Linked DNA regions of Medicago truncatula. The protein of the gene in region 1 binds, or shares a complex with, the protein of each later gene. Links are inferred from orthologs where the notes say so. Each region holds a gene or a part of one and is shown on either strand. Other genes may lie near its edges.

Region 1 (7,251 bases):
ACTTCAATGAAAAATTAGACTTTAAGGGCTTTAGGTGAAAGAAAATTGGCGAGATTATAACATGCATAGTGAACAGAATTTATTGCAATCACTAGAACCCCCATTTTTTTACCTAATTATGCCCCCTTGTTCACTATTGAATTTGCCACTGCAAAATCTAAATCACAAAACAAGCGGAGAAAGCTAGAAACGACACATACTTGTCAATTTCTTGACGCATTCTATTTATATTTCTTCTAGCACCATCAACAGTCTGCCTCCTCACACTCACACTAAGTGCTTCGATACAAACATTATCAATATTATGAGCTTCATCAAATACAACAACTGATTCTTTCTGCATTTCCTTGGATATTATGGCAGCCACCTTTGGATCAAGCAAATATTGATAACTATAGACCACCACATTGGCAAACTGGACCATATGCCGCGCTAAAAAGTAAGGACACCACCCTTTCTCCTTCCCAAACGTTCTCAGATCCTACAATCACATACACATTCAGATTCAAACATTTTAAAAGGTCTGGTCATATCAAAATGCAAAACCATAGAACAACTAAAAATGAATAAAAATCAAAATTATGTCAACCTTTGAAAGTCTTAAATCTTAACACCAAGAAACAACCAAAACTGCTCAAAATCAGATTGTTCAGTCAAACCCACAAAAATTCCGGCATCTTGGAATCCAAGAACATCGGAAAGCAATCAAAATGGAAGTTTTCCAAAAATCACGCATATAGATACAAACATTTTAGAATAGGAAAACTCCAAAAACTATCTAAATCAAAATTTGAAAAGGCAAAGTGAATGAATTAATAATAAGACACCACACCAAACACAAGTGAGGCACGGTTGGTGCAAGCAAATACAAAGTCAAGCTAAACACAGCATTACCTCAAGCAGAAGCAAAACTTCTTGTAACCACAGAGTTCCAGAATAAAGACTGTGACAGCCATACTACACTCAAAGTTTGACCACTTTCAAATCAAGAAACATCTAAATCTCAAAATTTCAGTCATTTATGGTTTGAATTCAAACTGAACACCATAGTTGTCAATGCAGAAATGTGGCGCGGCGCGGCCAACCCAAAAATTGGTGCGGTGCAGTATTAATATAAATGAGAAGTTAAAGATAATTAACTGATTTTCACTAGTAACTAGCCAAAAAAAAGGGAAAGAAAAAGACTTAATGATCATTAAACAGTCCAAGTTGTAACCAAAAAAAAAAAGAAAAAAAGAAGTCCAAAGCAGAAATAGATTGATTGAGTCCACGTTATATCACTATGGGCCTAGCCCAATACTCTATATAAAAAGTGAAATAACCAAACCCAAGTTTTTTCTCCTCTTTCTATTCTATACAAACATAGCCGCCGCCAGCCACCATCCATCTGAACTCTAGATCTACGTCTCTTCAATCCTTCTTATTCTATAACCATTTTCTCTTCATCATCCGTCGGTTTTTCTTTATAGCTCTTCGCTTCTTCGAAGATACATTACTGCACTACTTTAGGTTGACAAAGGCAGAGAACCTGTCATTGAAGATGGTAGCGGACGCGTTGACACACGCTGCTTCGAATCGATACCCGCTATATCGGCCGTTGCGGCCGCTTCTCACTTTCGCACCGCTCCGACGCGGTTGGGAGCGCTGGGATCTAAAAGTCCACTACACGCCGCAATAGCAGGCGGCGCGGCTGCTATACTATGCTGAACACTCAGCCCCACCAGAAAAGAAGAAAAAAAAATCAAATCAAGCATTCCAAAATCAGTAAACATCATCAAAATCAACCACACTTCAAATTCAAACATTTAAGAATCAGAGAAAACAACATCCAAAACCGAACACTCGACTCCACTGAAAAAATATCAAATCAAACATTCCAAAATCAGCAAACATCATCAAAATCAACCACACTTCGAATTCAAACATTTAGAAATGAGAAAACAGTATCCATCAAACATTTAGAAATCAGAACACAGTCTCCAACACTGAACATTCAACCCCACTCACAAAAATCAAGCATTCCAGAATAACCTAACACCATAAAAATCAATATTTATTTTACTTCTATAAAAACTTTATACATTTAAGAATAGCATATCATCCAAAGGCTATAAAATTCGAGCATTTGAAAACAACCTAACATCGTAAAAAATCAATTTTTATAACTTTATAAAGATTACAAAATAATCAAAGCCTATAAAAATCCAACGAACAAAACTAAATTTGAAATACCTGCAAAGTATAAACACCAGGAGGCAAAACAGCAGCAGACCCAGCTCTTTCATACTGCTCAAAAAACTCACACGAAGGAACATCCGGATTCTCAGCAGCAAGCGCCCTAACCCAACTAGCAGTCAATTTCCTACACCCAGCATCAACCGAATCACGATTCTCAGCAGCAAGAACTTTATTATTAACACAAAGATTCTTCCTCGAAGACAATCCAAGCGCAAGCATCTTCGCAGACGGACCAATACATTTAACCATATAATCATGAAGCAGTCTCAATTCAGCTAAAGTCTTTTCCATCTCGTGAACGGTTCGAGTGCAATAAATAAGCTTGATTGGTGATTGAGGCTTTGAGAGTGTGTAGCTTGTGATTAGTGACAGTAAAGCTATGGTTTTTCCCGTTCCGGTCGGCATTTCAAGTAAACAATGTCCTTTTGCATCTAGGGTTCGTTTTAATTCAATCATGTATGCGTATTGTTCGGGGTATATGTTGTCATAGGGGAAATACACTGTTACTTCTTCGATTTTGAACTTCATTTTTTTGTTTCTTCTTCTACAATTCAGAAATATTGATCAAAATCGTAACCTAATTTCAGGAATGTAATGAAAAATGGAAATTTCAGAAACGTGATTCATATATAAGAAATCAGAAATCACGGAGATTGAAATGAGAAACGTGAAAAGGAAGAAAGAGAAGTACTTACCGGTACGGTGGCTTTGATGGATCCACACGGCGCGACGGTGAAATCGCGGCGGCGGAGGGTGAGAGATACGGTGCGAGATTAAGATTGGCGACGAAAGTGAGTGTGTTTTTTTGAGAGAAAGGTTAAGGTGATGAGAGTGAGAGGGTTTTTGAGAGTAAAAATAATCACTTTTTAAATCATGCAATTGTTTTAAGGTTTAAATGCATTTTTGATCCCCTATGTTTGCCGTCGTACTACGGTCGTAGCAATTTTGGCCCCCTAATTTTCGCAACTATGTTGAGAAGTCGCCATGTGTCCCAAAAAAGGGGGTCAAAGTCACAACATTTTTGCAAAGATAAGGGGTCAGAAGAGCATATTTTCCGAAACATGACAAAATTAGGGGGTTCAAATTGCATTTTTTTTGTTAGGGGGCCAAAATTGCTACGACGGCAAATATAGGGGGCCAAAAGTGCATTTAAGCCTTATAAACGTACCAAAATAATGATTCAAACATTCAGAATCAATAAATATTATTAATAACAATTTATAATTTTTGTGAAAAATAAAAAAAACAAATTTGAGGTTTCCTCGGTAGTTAACTGCAGCCGATTCCATAATTCGGCAGTTAACTGCCGAAGGGCATTTGGGTAAATTACTTGTGTCTCTCAGCCAATGCATATGTGTCAACCACAATTCTCATGATAAATTGTGACTTCTGAGTCAATCTTTTACCTGTCATAAAAATACACATGCCACAAAAATACTTTACTTACCGTAGATAGCAATAGTCATTACTTTTGAATCCATAAAATACTCTACAACGTGAAAGCTAATCTTGTTGGATGGGTAAAGCTCCTCAATAATCCTCCACAACTCGACAATAATTGCATTACATTACTCAAGTCTTTTTGCAAACACCATTCGTCGTGTGAATTGGATTTGACTCAGTAACCGCGTCACACAATTATTTGTAGTAGCTTTCCAATCTAAAAATGATGTTTGAGATCGTTTATAGTTGTTTTTGATAATACGTAATCTGAACCGTCTGATCTAAAATCAATAGATATGTGAAATTGTGTGCTTTTGTACAACATACAATCCAAATCCATTTGTCGTGAGGTCCTCGAAATACAACGCCACATTATCTGAGCCCTCCACCTTTACAAACATTGTCCATGTTGAATTTCATCTAACCCATGGGAGGAGGAATCCATTGCAACAAAACTTGAGATTCGAGAGCTAAATGCATGAGTTCCAATTGTCTTGCTCACCTCAACACATTCTCTAGTTAGTTTGAATGCTTGTACCCAAGATGACGTCGGATGTGTTGCGTTCTCGTTGTGATCCTCTCTATTAAGCCAAAGCCAAATATAATGACATGTCATTGCCCAAAACACATTCCAATTCACTTTATAACCTTAATTAGTTATAACCCACTATGATAAGTTGACTGAATAAAATTGATTTTGGAGTTGCATATGAACATGTAATGTCGACTCCACCTCACCTCTGCACTAGTAACATAAGGGATCTCATTAATTCATCCTTGTCGTTAAATTGTCCGTTAAGAGTCTAATGAGTAAAAACTCTTCCGATCAATTCATCAGATTCTATTGATTCGAATATTGATTCATCAGGTTGTTAGATTCTAAACTTTTTCAATCAGACTCAACCCAATTAATGCAAAACCTTTTTAAAAACAAAAATTTAGTTCAACTAATAATATATGTTGAAAATAATATTCAATATAAACATTATTTACCTATTCTTAAACCTTAAAAATAATTTGACCCAAGAAAATATATTTAAAGCGAAAAATAGTCGAGGGTCGAATAAGACCTAAAAAATTTAGGGGCCTAAAACCCTTACTTTAGCGACAACCCCTTAAACATCCTGTATCAACCAACACATGAACATCTGCAATGCTCCAGTTATGATTCCAAGCCTCCGGATCTTAACCATCACTTATAGATATAAATTTAAACCAAGCGAAATTTGGCCATAATCTAACCAACGATTTCCACAAGGTCGAATCTGTAGCTTTGGCTATCACAACATTTCCCACATTAGTACCCATGTCATATTTACCTTTCGTATCTTGATCTAACAAATATTGATAGTCATTTCACTTTGGTGTTTCTCCAATCAAAGGGACCCCAATATATTTCCCTAGAGGACTAGTCTATTGAAAACAAAATAGTTGAACTAAAACATGCATTGTATTTCTTTTAACATTTTTGGAAAACAGAATACTAGTCATCTATGTGCTTGGTATTTCTTTCAAAATTAGTTGTTTTAACTCTTTTACTTTTAACTTTTTTTTTGAGGGGTCTTTTACCTTTAACTTGAACACTATTGAAATTCCAAAATAATTTTTTTTACCCTCTTGTTAACAACAAACTCGGTAAACCGTTGATAGCTGGCTCGAACTAATCAATTCTCGATCCTCATGGGATCAATCTCTACGTTCATATTATTACTTGTTACAATTGTGTATACTTGCACATCACATTTTCACACAACATATGACACCTTATTGTACCGAAGAGGCATTTATAATAATGTTGATTATATGAATGATTCCTTGCAACTTCCCATGGGATAAAACCAATTTTATTAAAATTATTAAAGCATGAGGTGTTTTGCTTTTAAAGTGATAAAAAAGTTGTTTGTTAATTACATGCAAATTAAAGAGACAAAATATGGCTGAAATTCAAAAAATTGTTTATGCTTTCATCATCATGATTTCCGTAATTCTAGGTCAACATAGTAAGTCCATGTTCACACAAATTTCAATATTTCTTCTTTATCATATGAAAAATATTCCATCATCTTCTAGTAACATTCATGTACTCCTTTTAAAATACAGGTTTAATCCCCTGCAAAACTAATATGGATTGTGCAAAGGATGTATGTCTCAATTATAAATTTCCGACTTGTGTTGGGAAAAAATGTTACTGCTTGTCCGCGTAACAATTTATTTATACATAATTCTATGTTGCTTTTGATTAGCTTATAATTTGATGTGTCTGTCATAATGTTTTTACTATTATGAAATTCTCACACTTTGACTCATGCTTTTATGATATTTCAATTTCTTTTGATAAACTGAAAATCGTGTTGTTGTTATTATTATTATTATTATTATTATTATATATATTATCATGCAAGTATTGTTACCTTTGTTTGCTCGTAATAGATATCAAGAACAACAACTTCAATGAATAATTTCAATTAGTTAGTTTAATGAATAAATAGAAAATATGATATCATAGAGCTATATATTGTACTGTTATTTTAAATATATGATTGATGATATGCTTAAACTGAATAAATATTCATATGTATGTATTTAAAAAATTATTGAAATGAACTAAATCTTAATCATCATATTTTATAATAACAAATTGGTATATTCTTGCACTAAAAGAAAGCTTTAGGGAAAATGTATTTCATTTTAAATAGTAAAAGTAGGGTTTGAGTTCCACTTTGTATATGAAGAAAATTTGGTTGGAACGAAAGAATTTATCTTGTATCCCACATATTTATCGACGGATATTAATCACTATTAAATAACGATGAAAACTTCATATCAATATCATGGTAACTAAAAAAAATAGGGCTTGAGTCATATATATATATATATTTTTAATCCACATAGTTAAATAATAAGTACCAAATTGGTGGAGTTTTTTTTTAATGTAAGTTGTGAACTCATGATTAGTATGGAATTGGGTATTCCCACTAAATGCCTCTCTTGATATCATCAATTGATGTAATGTGATTGAATTATAAATTGGTACAAACCATAAACAAATAATCCTACTCTCATTAACTAAATATGGTCAAATATTATTCATTATACATAAATAAAAGCAAGAGAAATAAACACCGGAAGGACAGTTGAGTTGTAGTTCAAATTGTTTCTCTAAAAATCTTTCTGAATGATAAAGCAACTAATACTTCAGATTGGATGAAAATATTTGTCTTTAAAATTGTTGATAGTGTTTTTTTTATGCATTAGTTAAAAAAAATACAACAAAAATAAGGGATGAGAAAGAACCACACTTGAGAGTGTCTCCTGGTTGCACCTCAACTCAACCTATACTTCTACTTCTTAACAATGCCACTTGTGCTTGTTACGGAACACTTGCTTTCCCTCAACAAGCAAAATTTTTACAAAAATGAAATCAGTTTCAAGCTTGTTTACAAATGAAATCAGTTATTCTTTACAAATGAAGACTTTGAATACTAATTCGTGAGAGTCTTTACAATAAAACACTTTCATATAAATTTCAACAACATATTTTCTTCGTCATTGTTGATGTTATACCAAACT
Region 2 (8,058 bases), on another chromosome or scaffold:
TGTTAATTTGTATTTGTGCAGAAGCTACATGGTTCAATCATAATCAACAAACTAACCTCATCTAGTGCAACTGAATACGTTCCTCCAGTTTCTTGGCAAAGATGCTTGCATATAAACATTTCAGCAGCAAGACCAATGACCGAGCATCTTATTTTACTCTTTTTGCATTTTTGGATAGTTTCCATGAGATCACCAGGATCACATGTACTGAGGGCCGAATATAAAATCAGAACTTCTCGATGACCATATGATGGGATTTGATTTAGATTGCTATGAACAAGTTCTAGTGCATTTTGTAGGGAGGCATCACCTGAGCATTCTAGTTTACCCATCAAAGCTTTGATGTGTGACTCAGGACTGCCGCCAAGATCTGTCAAGCAATTAGCAACACCATCTTTGGTAGTCACCAAACCAACATGACTAAGTGGATTCTGATCAAAGAACTCCCTGATAAATAACTCAACCTGCTTTGCAATCACAGCCATTCTACTTGGTCGAAAGTCCCTCTCTGAAGCTGCCTTCACATGACGTAAGAAACTGAATTATGTTACAAGGCAAGAAATTCGAAAGACATATATGTTATTAAGTGTTAATACTGATATTGAATAAGATACTGGTAATTGTAGGATCATAAGCAATTTCATATATAATTACAGGTATAAGAACTGCTCTTCATGAAAATCAGTGTGACTATGATTAGCTATTAAGTGCTAGCTTATTGAACAAGTTAGATGTACTTCTAAAGGAAAAGGATAAAATTCAAAAAACATTTGCAAAAGGAAATATAGATAAGACAATGGAAGAAAATTAAGTAAATTTAACTGCCATTGATTTGTGAAGTGTTCCAACATACCCATCCTCTAATTGAACCCCAATTTTCAAGTAATCAATACAATGGTCTATGACAAATGACTTAGACACAAACACAAAAATTATAAATTAATAAAACCAATACCTTGGACAGGTCCACAACAATGTATAAGTATCGTATCAAACCCTTTTGAATTCGCGCAGTAGCTGCATTTGAAGCAAGGGCGCGGAGGCGTCTACGATACTGGGCATGATGAATGGCTGTCGTATCTATGGGACGAAGAAGTCCAGATTCATCTTCCTGCAAAGACTCCCATGATCTATCTTCTGTATAAGCTCTCTCCCACGCTTCAAGGCCATCATCATTAGCTTCATCTTCATCATCATCCTCTAAATCTCCATTAAGCGGTTTCCCAGCAATGTTATTCATGATTTCTTGCCGAAAAGATGCAGTAGTTAATTAACCAAGTGATGAAGCTGCAACGGTAAATGAATTATTTTATCATATATAATTCAATAAAGATAATTTTGGAACACTAAATGAAATGTACAGAAACATCAGCACTTATAAGATCATGAAAACAAAAACTGTAATGATTTAAACATAATGTATAATTAAAAAAGCGAGGTGTTTATTATTGGGAAAGTAACTAAATTATGATGATCAATTGCGGCACACCATAATCATACTCTCGTTAAGGCATTTAATCAAACAGGTTGAGTGTACAAAAGGAAATAGGAAAATAGCAAGTTCAAACTACTTGTACACTAAACCTGTTTGATTAAATGTCGTAACCATTGTTAATTAGATTAGATATTGATAAGCCTTTTTTCACTATCTACTTGGTATCGCGAATTAGGGATTGGATTTGGAAATTTTATTGTTGAGAATGAGATGCTTAGGATTAAAAGCCGTACCTCAACGGTGGTCGGAGAAGCTGAGTAGCAGCACACCAAATCAAAGGGGACACGTTGACAGCAGTGGCGGAGCCAGACCTAAAATTTTGGGGTGGCAGCTTTAAAAATAAACTAAAATATATAAATCATATAATATACAATACGACCCATTTCGGTGTCGTTCATAAAAAATTTCAACAAAATAATACTAAAAACCGATCATCATATTCAAAGTGATGCTTTACGCATCCCGACTTTTCATCTTAACTTTTCCTGTTGAAACAGTTTCAAAATCAACTAACAATACATGGTTTCAATGTTACATCAATTCTAATAACATTCAAATTTCATAACAATAGCCGGTTTCAATTTCATTGAAATAACATAAATGATTTCAAAATGAACCAATTTCACTTGATTTTCATAAACAGAAGACGATGATAGCTGAATTCAAAAGTTGAGCCAGGTTTGATAGATCTTTCTGATGGAAAATGCCATAAATGTTGCTACTTTTCATGACAAGTTGCTAGGACATGCTAGTCATATACAGAAAAACCAAACACTATCAAAAATAGAGGAAGATTAGCTCATCTAGGCATGCTAGAAGTTGAAGATATGCTTACATTTTTTTGAATCAAATAAGCTTACATTTTCCATCTTTTCCACCTCTACTATTTAGGATTATTGATTACGTCCTCCTCTCAAAGTCATTGCCATACATGATTAAAATTGGCAAAGGAAGTAAGTTAACTTTTCTTAATTACCTATAGTAACTCTAAAACAATTTGACTAGTTATCAGGCTTTCATATTCTACTATTGTTTGACAATTATTTAAAACCGAGGCTTTCAATTGGAATTCGTCTCTCACACTCAATACAATTATTTAAACACAAGTAACAGTTCAGTAGCAATCAGAGTTCATGTTCTAAACCATAATAATAAGCAGAACATTCATGTCTTCTGTAGTAATCAGTAGCAATCGAAAACTAAAAAAATTCAATTTCACATTCAATTTCACATCACTAAATCATTAAAGACACATACACAATTACAAATCATTACCAGAATATTACATTCAATTTCACATTACTCAAGAACATGTAATTATCAAATCAGAATCAGGATTGAAGGAAATTACATTCAATTTCACATTACCTTACAAGTTACAACAATTAGGGTTTGTGGAGAGAGATGGATGGAGATAGCTCTCTAAACTAAAGAATCAATACAGAAGATTGAGGGGGGGTGCGGCGGTGATGGATGGAGAAGGAGAAGAGTGGTCGCGGCCCGCCGGCAGTGGTGTGGTGGTGGATGTTGTTCGGTGGTTTTGCTTTCGCTGGGAGAAGAAAAAAGAGGAACGCGCATCAGATGAAAGAGAAAGGGGAAAAGGAAATGAAATTGAATTGGTAATATTCATATTAGTTAAGGGCATTATAGTAATTTCCAGTGTCATTGAAAAACAAGAAAAGCTTGTTTTAACTTATTTTTTATTGAAAAAGATGCTGCTTTTTCACATTTTAAATCCTAGCCTTTGATTAATTTTTTTCCACGTGTCACTCATCTATCAAAGGAATTGGGAAATTGTGCTCCATCCGTCTCAAAATAAGTAAGTCATTTGCTCATTTGGCTGTTGTACGCGTACTTCTTATGGATAGTTCGTGAAGGCACAACCAAGATGGCAGCAATCACATATGACAGTTCTTGAAGGTGAGGCAATGGCGCTATTAGAAATCATATGGTTTGCAGAACAAAACGGATGGGAAAAAGTTGTTTTCAAGTCTGATTCGGCTACGGTGGTGAATGCCTTGTCGTCCCATCGTCGCGGTGATTCTAAATTTTAGGCTATTATTTCTTGTATTATTGCTAAGTTAGTTTTACATTCCAATTTCAAGTTGAAGTTTATTAGGAGACAAGCAAATATGGTCGCTCGTACTTTAGCTAGGGCGACCTATTCTTCGGCTAGTCGCCGTGTTTTTGAGTTCTATCCTCCATGTATTGAACAATATGTAATTAATGATATTAGTTGATTTTGCTTCGGTAAAAAAAGTGCCATTGTCAAATATTTGTGCATTTGTTGTGATCATAAAAGCAAAGTGAAAAATATTGAATTGAGAGTGATGAAATTAGTATTAATTATAGTGATGAAATTGTCACTTGACCCACTTGTTCGAAATATTAATAGAATATAACATAGATTTCGAATAGTAAGAAAAAAATATAAGAGAGTTTTGAAGTGTGTGGTCAAAACTATTACCTTTAAAGTAAATTTTCGATGGACCTCCGATGCAACTTAATATTCAATTTTGCTCCTCAAGATTTACACATCTTTGTGTTTGAACATGTGCACTCAAAGTGTAAACACATTGGAGCTTCGCAAACTGTTATGATACATGACATCCATGGAATGAGAATGAATATTATTGCAAATGAGAAAGTTATCGAGTGGTTACAAGCTATTTATGCTATAATCTACTATGACTAATATGGAACTATTTATCCTCCAAATTGGAGAACAACCAATGGCTGAAAGATGCTTGAATCCATCCATTTGATAGCCTCTAAACCATAATCCAAAACACGGCAGAAGCAGCAACAAATTTTTCTGATGCTCCCTTCCACAGACAAGAGGATTCAAATACATGGTTGAATTGGACAAATAGTTGTTGCAATACACACCACTAACAGAAAGGTAATATAAACTCCAAGACTATAGAAAAGTTATCCGAGAGTGGTTCCCGGAGAAGAGTTGATAAACTTCATATTTTTAATTTTTGTTGTCTTTCTCATACTATGAATTTGAGTTAGCCGATTGAATAACATTATAAGTAGTTCATATAAGCTTAGTAAATGGGAAAAAGAAATTTCTCAGTAAGTGTATAGTTCTGGCTAACTTCTGAATCTCAATCATCCAGTTATAGTGATGAGTTTCGTCCAAATTTCAACTTATATCAATCTCAGTTATTTATAGTTATACACGATGGGTCACCTTAAACCATCCTCATGCTATCATATAATAAACATGGAACAAATTAATATAATTTAGGCTAAAATATGGTTTTAGTCCCTGCAAATATGCCTCGTTTTGATTTTAGTCCCTGGTAAAAAAAAAATTTTGTTTTTGGTCCCTGCAAAATTTTTTGTTTTTGAAAATAGTTTTTCAAAAACAAAAAATTTTGGGAGGGACTATTTTCAAAAACAAAAAATTTTGCAGGGACCAAAAACTACAAAATTGGTTCAGTTATAATGTGCCACGTATGCAAATCATCACAAAAGTGGGGTCAGGAACTATTTTCAAAAACAAAAAATTTTGCAGGGACCAAAAACAAAAATTTTTTTTACCAGGGACTAAAATCAAAACGAGGCATATTTGCAGGGACTAAAACCATATTTTAGCCTATAATTTAACATCCAAATCAAAATTTTAGAACGAAAAAAGTGACGGATACCATTCTCAAACACAAAAGCTATACAATTCTATTCTATACCAAGAGAAACGAATCCATGCAATAATCTACTACTAAGGGTGTGTTTGTTTCAGAGGGATAATTTTGAGTTAAAATGACTCTAAATCACTCTTCAATGTATCAAGAAAAAAAATGGTGACAGCTAGATTTGTTAAGGAGAAAAGAGAGAAAGGTATAAATTACTATTATTAGAGAAGTGATGTTTTTTACGAAGACGAAAATTAAGAATCAAACGCATTGATGTTTTAAAGAAATGGAAAACTGATTAGTCCGAATTTGGTGGACATCACAGTTGTGTATTGATGAAAATGAACGACAAACAAGAAGTCGTAGTTTTTCTCGATTATCACTCACCTTAGATTATCTACAACAGAGCATCTTAAACTGAGTGCTTAAATTAATTTTATATGTTAGACATCACTTATTTTATGGTAATACTTAATAAACACTCATTTTCTCCAACCCATCACCTTAAAAGAAATTACTAAATAGGTCCTATGAATTATTTTATATAATTACATTTCAACAAAATTTATTTATTTTATTAAGATTTATTAAAAGAGACCCATAAAAAATGAAGAGAGAGAGGGTGCTTCCATAGCCACCATTCTCTATAGCCATCCATATATTATACTCCACAATGAGGGTGCCTATTTAATATGGTGCTAAATAGATGAAACACCCACCATTGTGGATAGTCTTACTTTTATACTATATATAACTACTTACCAACTAAGCATCCTACCCTATTTTTGAATTTACCGTATATTCTAGTTAGACTATTTATTATACTCCACAATGAGGGTGCCTATTTAATATGGTGCTAAATAGATGAAGCACCCACCATTGTGGATAGTCTTACTTTTATACTATATATAACTACTTACCAACTAAGCATCCTACCCTATTTTTGAATTTACCGTATATTCTAGTTAGACTATTTATTATTATCTTCCTCTGACAATAATGTCTTATTTGAGTTTTACACAGTTATTAAAGAAATAATTAATAATGTTGATTTTAATGGTAAATTATCATCTACTAAAACATCTTATAATTATAGTTAGTCGAATAGCTATAGATGATTGAAATGTAATAAATAAGAGTATGTTAGTGGAAAAACGTAATAAATGTTGTATTGATATTGCAAAAGGGACAAATAATCTAAGACAAGTTTTTTAAAAAAGATAACACATATTATGAGATGGAGGGAAAACTTTATATCCCTTTTCAATACCTTTACTCATTATCTTGTTCGATCATGTAAACATACATTCTCTTCGTGAATATAGGAAGTTAATCAACATTTGATGAAAGACCCAAACAATCCTTTCATTTCACTTTATTATTGTCATCATATTTCATTTCACTTTAAATATGTTGATTGAAGGCTTTAGGGTATTGAAATGGGATCTACAAGGAAGAAAGTTGGATTTGTGTTTTCTCTACATTTTCTCTATTTCTTTTTCTCTTATGTCTCTCAGTTCTCTATCTGATTCAACATTTTTTGCCTCGCTTTTTTGGTTCACTCCATTTCCTCTAATTTATACTAAAAATATTAGCTAAAGTGTGAGGAAAATGCCAAAATCAAGGCAGGTGGACTTGTAACAGAATGTATGCAGTGTTGAAATTGCAAGGTAACATGTTGGTTAGGAGACCAAATTGCAAATGCAGTGTTACAGTTACAAATTTGCAGCAACTGAGATGCTTAAGTATTTTCATAAAAATGGAAAAAGAAAAAAGTTAGTAAAAAAGAAGTTTCGGAGCGATGCTGAAAATGTAACGAGATCGACACTTTATTTTTAATTTGTTATCAACATCCAACAGATCGACACTTTATCCGTAAAGTTTAAAAATAATCACACTTGATATAAAATTGTCTTCTCATGTCTCTATTTTACTATGGATATTACCTAAATCACATCAATATGTTACGACATACATTGCACTTATAATGACACTAAACTTAACAAACTTAAAAATAATTTAAGACTCAAGTAAATAATTAATCTGTTGAACTTATTCATGATTCGAAATTAGTCGAATGTGAGCTTAAAATTGAGCTAGTTAAATAAATGAATTCATAGTAAACTTGAAATTAATTGGATCAAAAAAATTGGGTACAACTTTTGGATTATGGTTTGCTTGTTTGTTTGATATGCATGTAGAATGACATTGTATGAACAAGTTTGATATCCGTGGGACATTAAAGCGAGGGAGGGATCGTTCGTTTCTTCAATTCAATTGATAGTTTGATACCAAAACATAGTACAAGGAGGCCTTTTTATAGGATAATGTACTTAACAATTAGGGTAGGAGCTTGTTAATATTTTTTCTTAATGAACAAGTATTATGATTTTGACTACTTCTCAATTCTTCAAAGTAGTTCTTGTTCCAAGTTCCAACATGGTTGTAGTTGAAGTAATGGATTTGCAATGTTTAGACGTTGCCTATGTTTTTTTTTTTACCTCAATTAAACTGGTTTTTTTTCTTTGATGTGTAAAAATCGTGGTAATCCATATAACAGATTGCGTATTCTTAGAGTGTGTTTTAGATACACTCTTGTAAATGTGCTCAAATGAAGTAATAAAAATAGCTTATGACATATACTCACTTTCAATATATAAGCTCTTATTATGCAAGCTCTTTACACAAACACACTTTTAGTCGCTTGTCATTTGACTCACTTTCGCCGTGGAGATACTTCTTAGATATTTGCTCATGGTTCCTATAAAGAAATCGTGTTTGTTTCTGTAACATTTGATTTTAGACAGTAAAATACTGCTCAACCTTTATGTTGCTAACATTGAGCATTTGTTATACTTGTGTCCTTCATATATGGTAATAACAAACCTTTTTAATTTGGGATTTTATGTCTTGAAGTTG
Region 3 (6,957 bases), on another chromosome or scaffold:
GATGGGAGATCGCCCAAATCCTCAGTGGTGCCTTCAACAGGATTTACTCCTGCATTAGGCCCTAGTGGAATTTCTTCTGGTGCTTCTGCCGCATGCTCCTTGGTGAAACCATTACCCACTTTGACACTCACCCTTGTGTTATTATTTGTCAAGTTGATGATCCCTGTAGCATTGTAATCTTCCAATTTTGTGGTGGGTTTAATTATGTCTTTGCCACAGGTGCTCCTATCTATTGTAGTTGCTAGTATTCGTTTGTACTTTTTAACTGATTGTGAATCTGGAAAACTATGGGATTTCGGGTTTAAACTTACGCTTAGCCTTTTATTACTTTGTGTCTTGCTGAACTATTTTGTTCATCTAGGGTCAGTAATTCTAGGTGTAATCTGTTATCATTCATTCATAGAAGTTCCAAGAAATTGATGGTGGCGCCATTGTGCACACTTTGTAATCATTTATGTCTTTTGTGTCAACCCTCTGATTCCCTTGGTAATCCAGAGTTCAGCCGAGAGGTAAGCGAAGCCTGGTGGTGGAGGTAATCATGTTAATATGTTTCTCAACTGTGTTCTAGTATTTCTTCCTCTTTTTTTTAGGGAGTATTTCTTCCTTTTCTAATGCTTGTTTTGGTAGAATTTATTTTTCTTGGTTATTATCAAATCTTAAATAGCTTATTGCGCAACAATTTTCTGTTGCTTTGTCCAATTTAGGAGTGCAGCCTAATCAGTGTCGACCTAATACAGATAGTTTTTTAATTATAATTATATTCCTTTTTTGGTTTATTATGTGAAGGCAATAGAAAATGAAAGAGGCTAATATTGTGTAGAATTTTCTCTTTCTGAGTTTTGTTAGTTTAATTTGGTGAAGGATGAAAAAGGTTTATATAATATCCCCTCCTATTCCTACTAGCAGTTGAATTATTCATTTTGCGTTACTCCCACATAGGCTGTAAATTCTTCAATTATTATAGCATGAGATGGAATCTAACTAGAGAGCATATTGTTTGAAATAGCATCACAACATACCCAGAAATACACAAGTACTTCAGTTATTTATACCTAGAGTATTTGGTTTAAGCCTCTTTGTCTCTAATTTGATGAGTAAATGAGCCAATTTGTTCAACGAAATTTTAAAAATTGTTCAATTTTGTTTACAAATTTTGCATATAGACAAATATGTTCTCCAGTTTAGCACGTCAGTTATTTTTGACCATCCATCCATCATTTTTTTTTTATTAGAGGATATGAAGTTATGACAAGACATCCCAACGTGGAACAACACCGCAACTCAAAATACAAGCCACCACTTGTACTAAAAAATTCACATCCTGAAGCAAAATATAAATAAAGATGAAGAGGTAAGCACCAAATGTATTAGGGAGGATAATATAAGATTAAAGAAATTGAGGGTAATTTTGTTAATATAATAATTTATGTTTTAACATTCCCATTCTTCTTGTCCTCGTTAGCTTAGTTCAGTTGACAACAACAATTACTCTTAATTCCCTCCCTTTCACTCTTAAACAACTTGAACCAGCCAAATTTCATTTAAAATATCTTTTCCTCTCCAAAAATCTCCAAACGAACATACTCTAAATTGTCTTGAGTATTTTCTTAGCACAAATGACTTATCAAAAATCTATTAATTAACTTCACAAGACATCAACATTTTGTACTAAGTAATTTCATAAATTCGTTTTAACAAAATAATAATTTATAGGGGTGGATTCTAGGGTGAACCATCAACTAAGTGGTTCACCGACGGATCACTTTTGTACACCATTCGATTTAAATTAAAGGTTTAGATATGTTAGACAAAAAAAATGAGAACATAAGTATACTTCTGCACACTATCCTTGTTCATTTAAAAACCACCGTTTCCTTATAAAAAAAATCTCCTTTTACTTCACCCCTCCAATTCAAAATCTATGAACACCCTTTCTCGGATTTGGTTTTGATTGAAAGAGAAAACTCAATTCATAGTTTGAAATGACAATAAAAGGAATTAGGTTGATGCAATAAGTCACGTAACCCTTCTGAATACAATAAGGAAACAAAAATGTTGGATACGGGGTGAATAAGAATTATATTGTCTGAAATTAGAAGATGAAAAAGAAGAAATATATTTTATGTGTGTGTTTTTTATTGTTGGGAAACAAGAATGTGAAATAGTTGGTGAGGTACCATTAATGGAAAAGTGGAAGGATGAAGCCAGCGAGAGGGAGGAAGAGGGAAAAAATGATCTAGTGTAGGTGGTGTATGGTAGAATTTACGAGTGCGATGAATCCAATGGCTCTCAACTATTGCTCAAAATGGTCCACCGGTGAATCACTTATTTGATGGTTCACCCTGGAATCCACCATTTAAGGAGTTAGTTTTAATTTTTTTTTTTTACCAATTGATTATTATCTATACTATATAGGCTTAAATATGTAAAAGGTCCCTGTAAGTTCGCGTGTTTTTTGTTTTCGTCCCTGTAACTTTTTTTGTTCGAAAACAAACTCTGTAAGTTTGTTAACTTTTTGGTTTTAGTCCCTAACGTTAACTTCTGTTCAAAAAATGCGTTGCTGGCAAACGGAAACACGCATGGCGAAGGCTGAGTTGGCGTTAGTGGCTTACGTGGCCTGACAGATGATAAGTGACTATTTTTTAGGGACCAAAATCAAAAACGCAAATTTACAGAGGGACGAAATTGAAATAATGTAAACACCAAATTTTGAAATTTAAAAATTAGATCGTCTTCATCCATTTGTTTTCTCTTGTTGTTCTCCCTACCAATTTCTTCATCTCCCTAGAATGTTCTCATCAATAATGTCTGATTCTATAGTGGCATTGTTCTCATCAACAAAATCTCATTTCTTAAACATGTTCGTTCACATATGATCAAGATGGACCATTTCACTTTCATGCTTTGAAACAACAAGAGAAAATGATGAAAATGGCAGGCTGATGCTCCTTTTCAAAGCATGTTACTCCTATCTAACAAGTTATCAATAAGAAATTATAGACCATTATTGTACGGGAAATGGAACATGGCACTCTTGCCTTCATTGATAAAAATGGAAAGATCCAACCAAAAATGGAAATGATAAAACCCACAAGGACACTGGGAGAAATTATGAGATGCTTTGCAAAGAGAAGGTATGCCCAAAAGTACATGTGTGCAGATGTACATGTTTTTGAAGGTGCTATGTTTTTGGTTTTGGACCCTAAAAACTAGTCACTTATCATCATCTGTCAGGCCACGTAAGCCACTAACGCCAACTCAGCCTTCGCCACGTGTATTTTCGTTTGCCAGCAACACGTTTTTTTAACGGAAGTTTACGTTATGAACTAAAACTAAAAAGTTAACAACTTACAAGGTTTGTTTTAGAACAAAAAAAAAGTTACAGGGATGAAAATAAAAAACACGCGAACTTACAGAGACCTTTTACATATTTAAGCCTACTATATATAAAGAGAATAACTCATTTCAGCTCTTTTAGGTTGATTTTTTCTTTTCAAAATACCCTCAATTTTCAATACAAATAACACATGTAACAATTAGATAAGAATAAATTTAAATATTAAAATAAAAGTGTAATAAACTAGATGAGTGTATATATCCTTACTTTTTTCATTATCTCAATTATACCCTTAAACAACAAATTTTCTCTATAATAAAAATTGTTGTTGGTATCATTCAAAAAATAAGAATTTAAATTATATATTTTTTGTTATATTGTCGGTTTCATCAAAATAGATAACCATGATTAGTTTGATTTATTATAATTTAAAAGCTAAAAATATTTACATTAAAATTAAAATTTTATAAAAAGAAAAAAACACTGTTCACTATTTTTAGGCATAGTATAAGAATCAAAGAGTATTTAGAAGTGCACCCAAAGAAAGTAACCTGAGCAACCGATATCTTCCCTGCAACTGTGTAAGCAAGGATTTCTGACTGAAAACCTTCGAAGGCTTCTTTCCTTATTTTCAACACACTTACATAAAGGGTAACAAGGGAAGATGAGTTTGGTAAAGAAAATATGAAATCGAGAATCAATTGAGCCAAACGCAGACACAAAACACACGATGACTACTTCAGCTCCTTCAAAGAATTACGCAGATGACGTCAGCCTCCTCGTCGTCACACTCGACACCAACCCTTTCTTCTGGTCTTCTTTCCCCTTTCACTTCTCCGAATTCCTCTCTCAAGTTCTGGCGTTTCTCAATTCAATACTCCTCCTCGGCCAACTCAACCAAGTCGTAGTTATCGCCACCGGATGCAATTCTTGTTCCTACGTTTACGATTCCGCTTCTGATAAGAATCATGCTTCCACCAACGGTACAATGCCTGCCATTTATTCCAATCTTCTTCATAATCTCGATGAATTCGTCGCTAAGGATCAGCAATTGACTACGCCTCATCATAAACCTGGAACCATTCCTTCTTCACTCTTATCTGGAGCATTGTCCATGGCACTTTGTTGTATCCTTTTTTCTTTTTCATTATGTTTATTCACTTTGGTTACTGATTTTTCATGAAATTACACACTCTTTTTAATTGTTAGGGTTTTCAATTTGTTTTATTATTGCTTTTGTTGAAAATTGAAATTGAACTACAAATTATGTTGAATTTGAATCTGTAATGCATCCATGAAATTTTTGTTTGACCTGATTTCGTTATTAGATATACAGAGAGCTTTTCGTTCAGGACCCATGCATCCTCAGCCTCGGGTATGTATGTCTTTGCCTAATCATCAATTTGTTTTTGTATGGAATTTTATAGTACACTTGAATGTGATAACTGTAGTTGGATATGTTTGTCAAATATGATTGACTTAAGTATTTTATTGTGTTAATGTGGGTTGATAGTAGTGATATTAGAGCTGAATGACTATTGTTAAAATGATGTTCATTCAAGTTTGTCGAATGAAAGTTGATATTGTGGTGTTTTGGTTTTTTGAACACATTTTTGAATGAAAGCTGAATGACTATTGTTAAAATGCTATGTATTGTGTTCAGTCTCGTATCTACAAGTTTTTTACTTCACTTGTTAGTGTTAACAAACAAAATATGGTTATTGGTTTGATCCAAGATATATGGTTATTGACATCTGGTTGATTTTGAATTGGTTTAAATCGGAGTATCAAGTACACGATTGCTAAACACATTCCAATTCGCTCATAAGTCATATGATTGGCCATCTTTGTTTTTAAATTAATATATAGGCAGCTGTTCTTTTTATAAAAATCGTCATTGTTAGTATTTCCAGCTATTCTTTTTTTTTTTTTTGTGAATTTATATTTGACTTCATTTTTTTTACAGTTCATTTATAGTTTACATATTTTGGATAATTACTTTATTTATTTACTTATTTGTGAACAGATTCTATGTCTACAAGGATCTACTGATGGACCAGAACAGTACATACCTCATGATCTTTACATTTTATACTCTTAATTTCTGCATTTTTGTTTCACTTCAAATCACACTTTCCATCCTTTTCAGGTATGTGGCAATCATGAATGCAATATTCTCTGCTCAGCGTTCTGTAGTATGTACTCAATCTTAATTTTTTCTTTCATTGTTCCTTTATGATTGGTTTCTACCCTGGCTTTTTACTGCCTGTGACTTCAACAACATATATTTATATAATAACACAGAAGGATTGCTTGTTTTTATGTTGGTTACTTAGTGTATTATTTTGGCAATGCAGGTTCCTGTAGATTCTTGTTTTATTGGTTCAAACAATTCTGCATTCCTTCAACAGGTAGTTAAATTAAACAAACACACTGACACACCTACACACTTAATGAGTAGGTACTGCAGAATATGTTTTATTGACTCTTGTCCTTTATCTCTATATTATGTATGGCAGGCTTCATACATAACTGGTGGCATATATTACAGGCCTCCCCAAATGGAAGGGCTTTTTCAATATCTTTCAGTAAGTTTGTGTTTTAATTGGCGCATTTGACTGCCTTTTCAGTATCTTTCAGTAATTCTGTCTTAATTGACTCGTTCGCCCCAGGACTTGAATACATTTTTAAACGAGTATATATTAGTATTACAATTAAATTACCGTGGTTTAAGTTCATATTAACATTCATCGAATGCTCTCACTAAACACTAGATTTGTTTTGTAGCCTTAGCCTTGCTTATAATAAAATATTTTTGGAATCAGTTTACCTCTAAAACATAAGACTTCAAAATAACTGTGGTATAGAAACCCCTATGGCGGTGCAAGACAAAATAGATAATGCTGATACTAGTTTTCTCTGTTCACAAACTGATGTCTTAGTTATATACACCAGTAGAGAACAAGGTAATGACAGAGCCACCTCATACTTTGCTTTAAGATGGCAAACTCTTCTTATCAAGGTCTCAGTAGTTTATAATTAACTTCCAATACCGTCGTTACGAAAAGGCTGTGAACCTGAATGCCTTTAGAATACACAAGAAAAATGAATTAAATGTTCTTTTAGTGTTACAATGTGTCTTCCTTCCCTATAAGTTGTTTGACATAAAATTAGTTTAAATTCGAAAAGCGAACCTAACAGCTATTCAACAAATAAGTCATTAAATTATTGTCAAATCTCTATTTGATAGTACTTCAAGATGGACAATTTGTTTTTTCATTATTGGTGTGTGGGATTTTAGCTTACTTTTTCATGGTTGCACTTCCAGATAAGTTGGTATGCATGTGGTACAAACTGCATGTTGGAATCCTTTTTGGGTCAACATAAAATGTAGGAAAAAGTATTCAAAACCATCGAGCTCATTTTTGCATGTACCATGTAGCTCCTAGTCAAGGTAGTTAAAATTTAGATTTTACGCAAAATCGGAAGGGGAAGTAAAATCATAAATCGTGGATTTGTAACACTAATCTAATCATCATATTATACAAAATTCATAAAACTCATATAGGCAGGCTTCTAGTAGAAGAGAAAGAAATGAAACCATAAGTATGGCAGGCAAG

Evidence for each region. Proteins that work in one complex are often made in the same cells at the same time.
Region 2: general transcription and DNA repair factor IIH helicase subunit XPD (region 1) and general transcription factor IIH subunit 2 share a complex: the UniProt entries of both Arabidopsis thaliana proteins name them as parts of the 7-subunit TFIIH core complex. The link is inferred for Medicago truncatula from reciprocal best matches to the Arabidopsis thaliana genes UVH6 and GTF2H2.
Region 3: general transcription and DNA repair factor IIH helicase subunit XPD (region 1) and general transcription and DNA repair factor IIH subunit TFB4 share a complex: the UniProt entries of both Arabidopsis thaliana proteins name them as parts of the 7-subunit TFIIH core complex. The link is inferred for Medicago truncatula from reciprocal best matches to the Arabidopsis thaliana genes UVH6 and AT1G18340.

The regions. Positions count from the first base shown.
Region 1 is NC_053043.1:42,019,989-42,027,239, reverse strand, and holds the start of general transcription and DNA repair factor IIH helicase subunit XPD, read right to left. Parts: upstream 3,089-7,251; 5' UTR 2,934-3,088; intron 2,816-2,933; 5' UTR 2,767-2,815; coding exon 2,233-2,766; intron 482-2,232; coding exon 201-481; intron 1-200. UniProt on the Arabidopsis thaliana protein: ATP-dependent 5'-3' DNA helicase, component of the general transcription and DNA repair factor IIH (TFIIH) core complex, which is involved in general and transcription-coupled nucleotide excision repair (NER) of damaged DNA and, when complexed to CDK-activating kinase (CAK), involved in transcription by RNA polymerase II.
Region 2 is NC_053048.1:41,896,830-41,904,887, forward strand, and holds the start of general transcription factor IIH subunit 2, read right to left. Parts: upstream 3,100-8,058; 5' UTR 2,864-3,099; intron 2,738-2,863; exon of another isoform or gene 2,408-2,737; 5' UTR 2,331-2,407; intron 1,807-2,330; 5' UTR 1,729-1,806; intron 1,288-1,728; 5' UTR 1,241-1,287; coding exon 956-1,240; intron 519-955; coding exon 57-518; intron 1-56. UniProt on the Arabidopsis thaliana protein: Component of the general transcription and DNA repair factor IIH (TFIIH) core complex, which is involved in general and transcription-coupled nucleotide excision repair (NER) of damaged DNA and, when complexed to CAK, in RNA transcription by RNA polymerase II.
Region 3 is NC_053044.1:36,049,921-36,056,877, forward strand, and holds the start of general transcription and DNA repair factor IIH subunit TFB4, read left to right. Parts: upstream 1-3,858; 5' UTR 3,859-4,067; coding exon 4,068-4,464; intron 4,465-4,665; coding exon 4,666-4,712; intron 4,713-5,363; coding exon 5,364-5,401; intron 5,402-5,486; coding exon 5,487-5,532; intron 5,533-5,694; coding exon 5,695-5,748; intron 5,749-5,856; coding exon 5,857-5,925; intron 5,926-6,957. Other genes in the region: lysM domain-containing GPI-anchored protein 1, read left to right, coding at 1-177. UniProt on the Arabidopsis thaliana protein: Component of the general transcription and DNA repair factor IIH (TFIIH) core complex, which is involved in general and transcription-coupled nucleotide excision repair (NER) of damaged DNA and, when complexed to CAK, in RNA transcription by RNA polymerase II.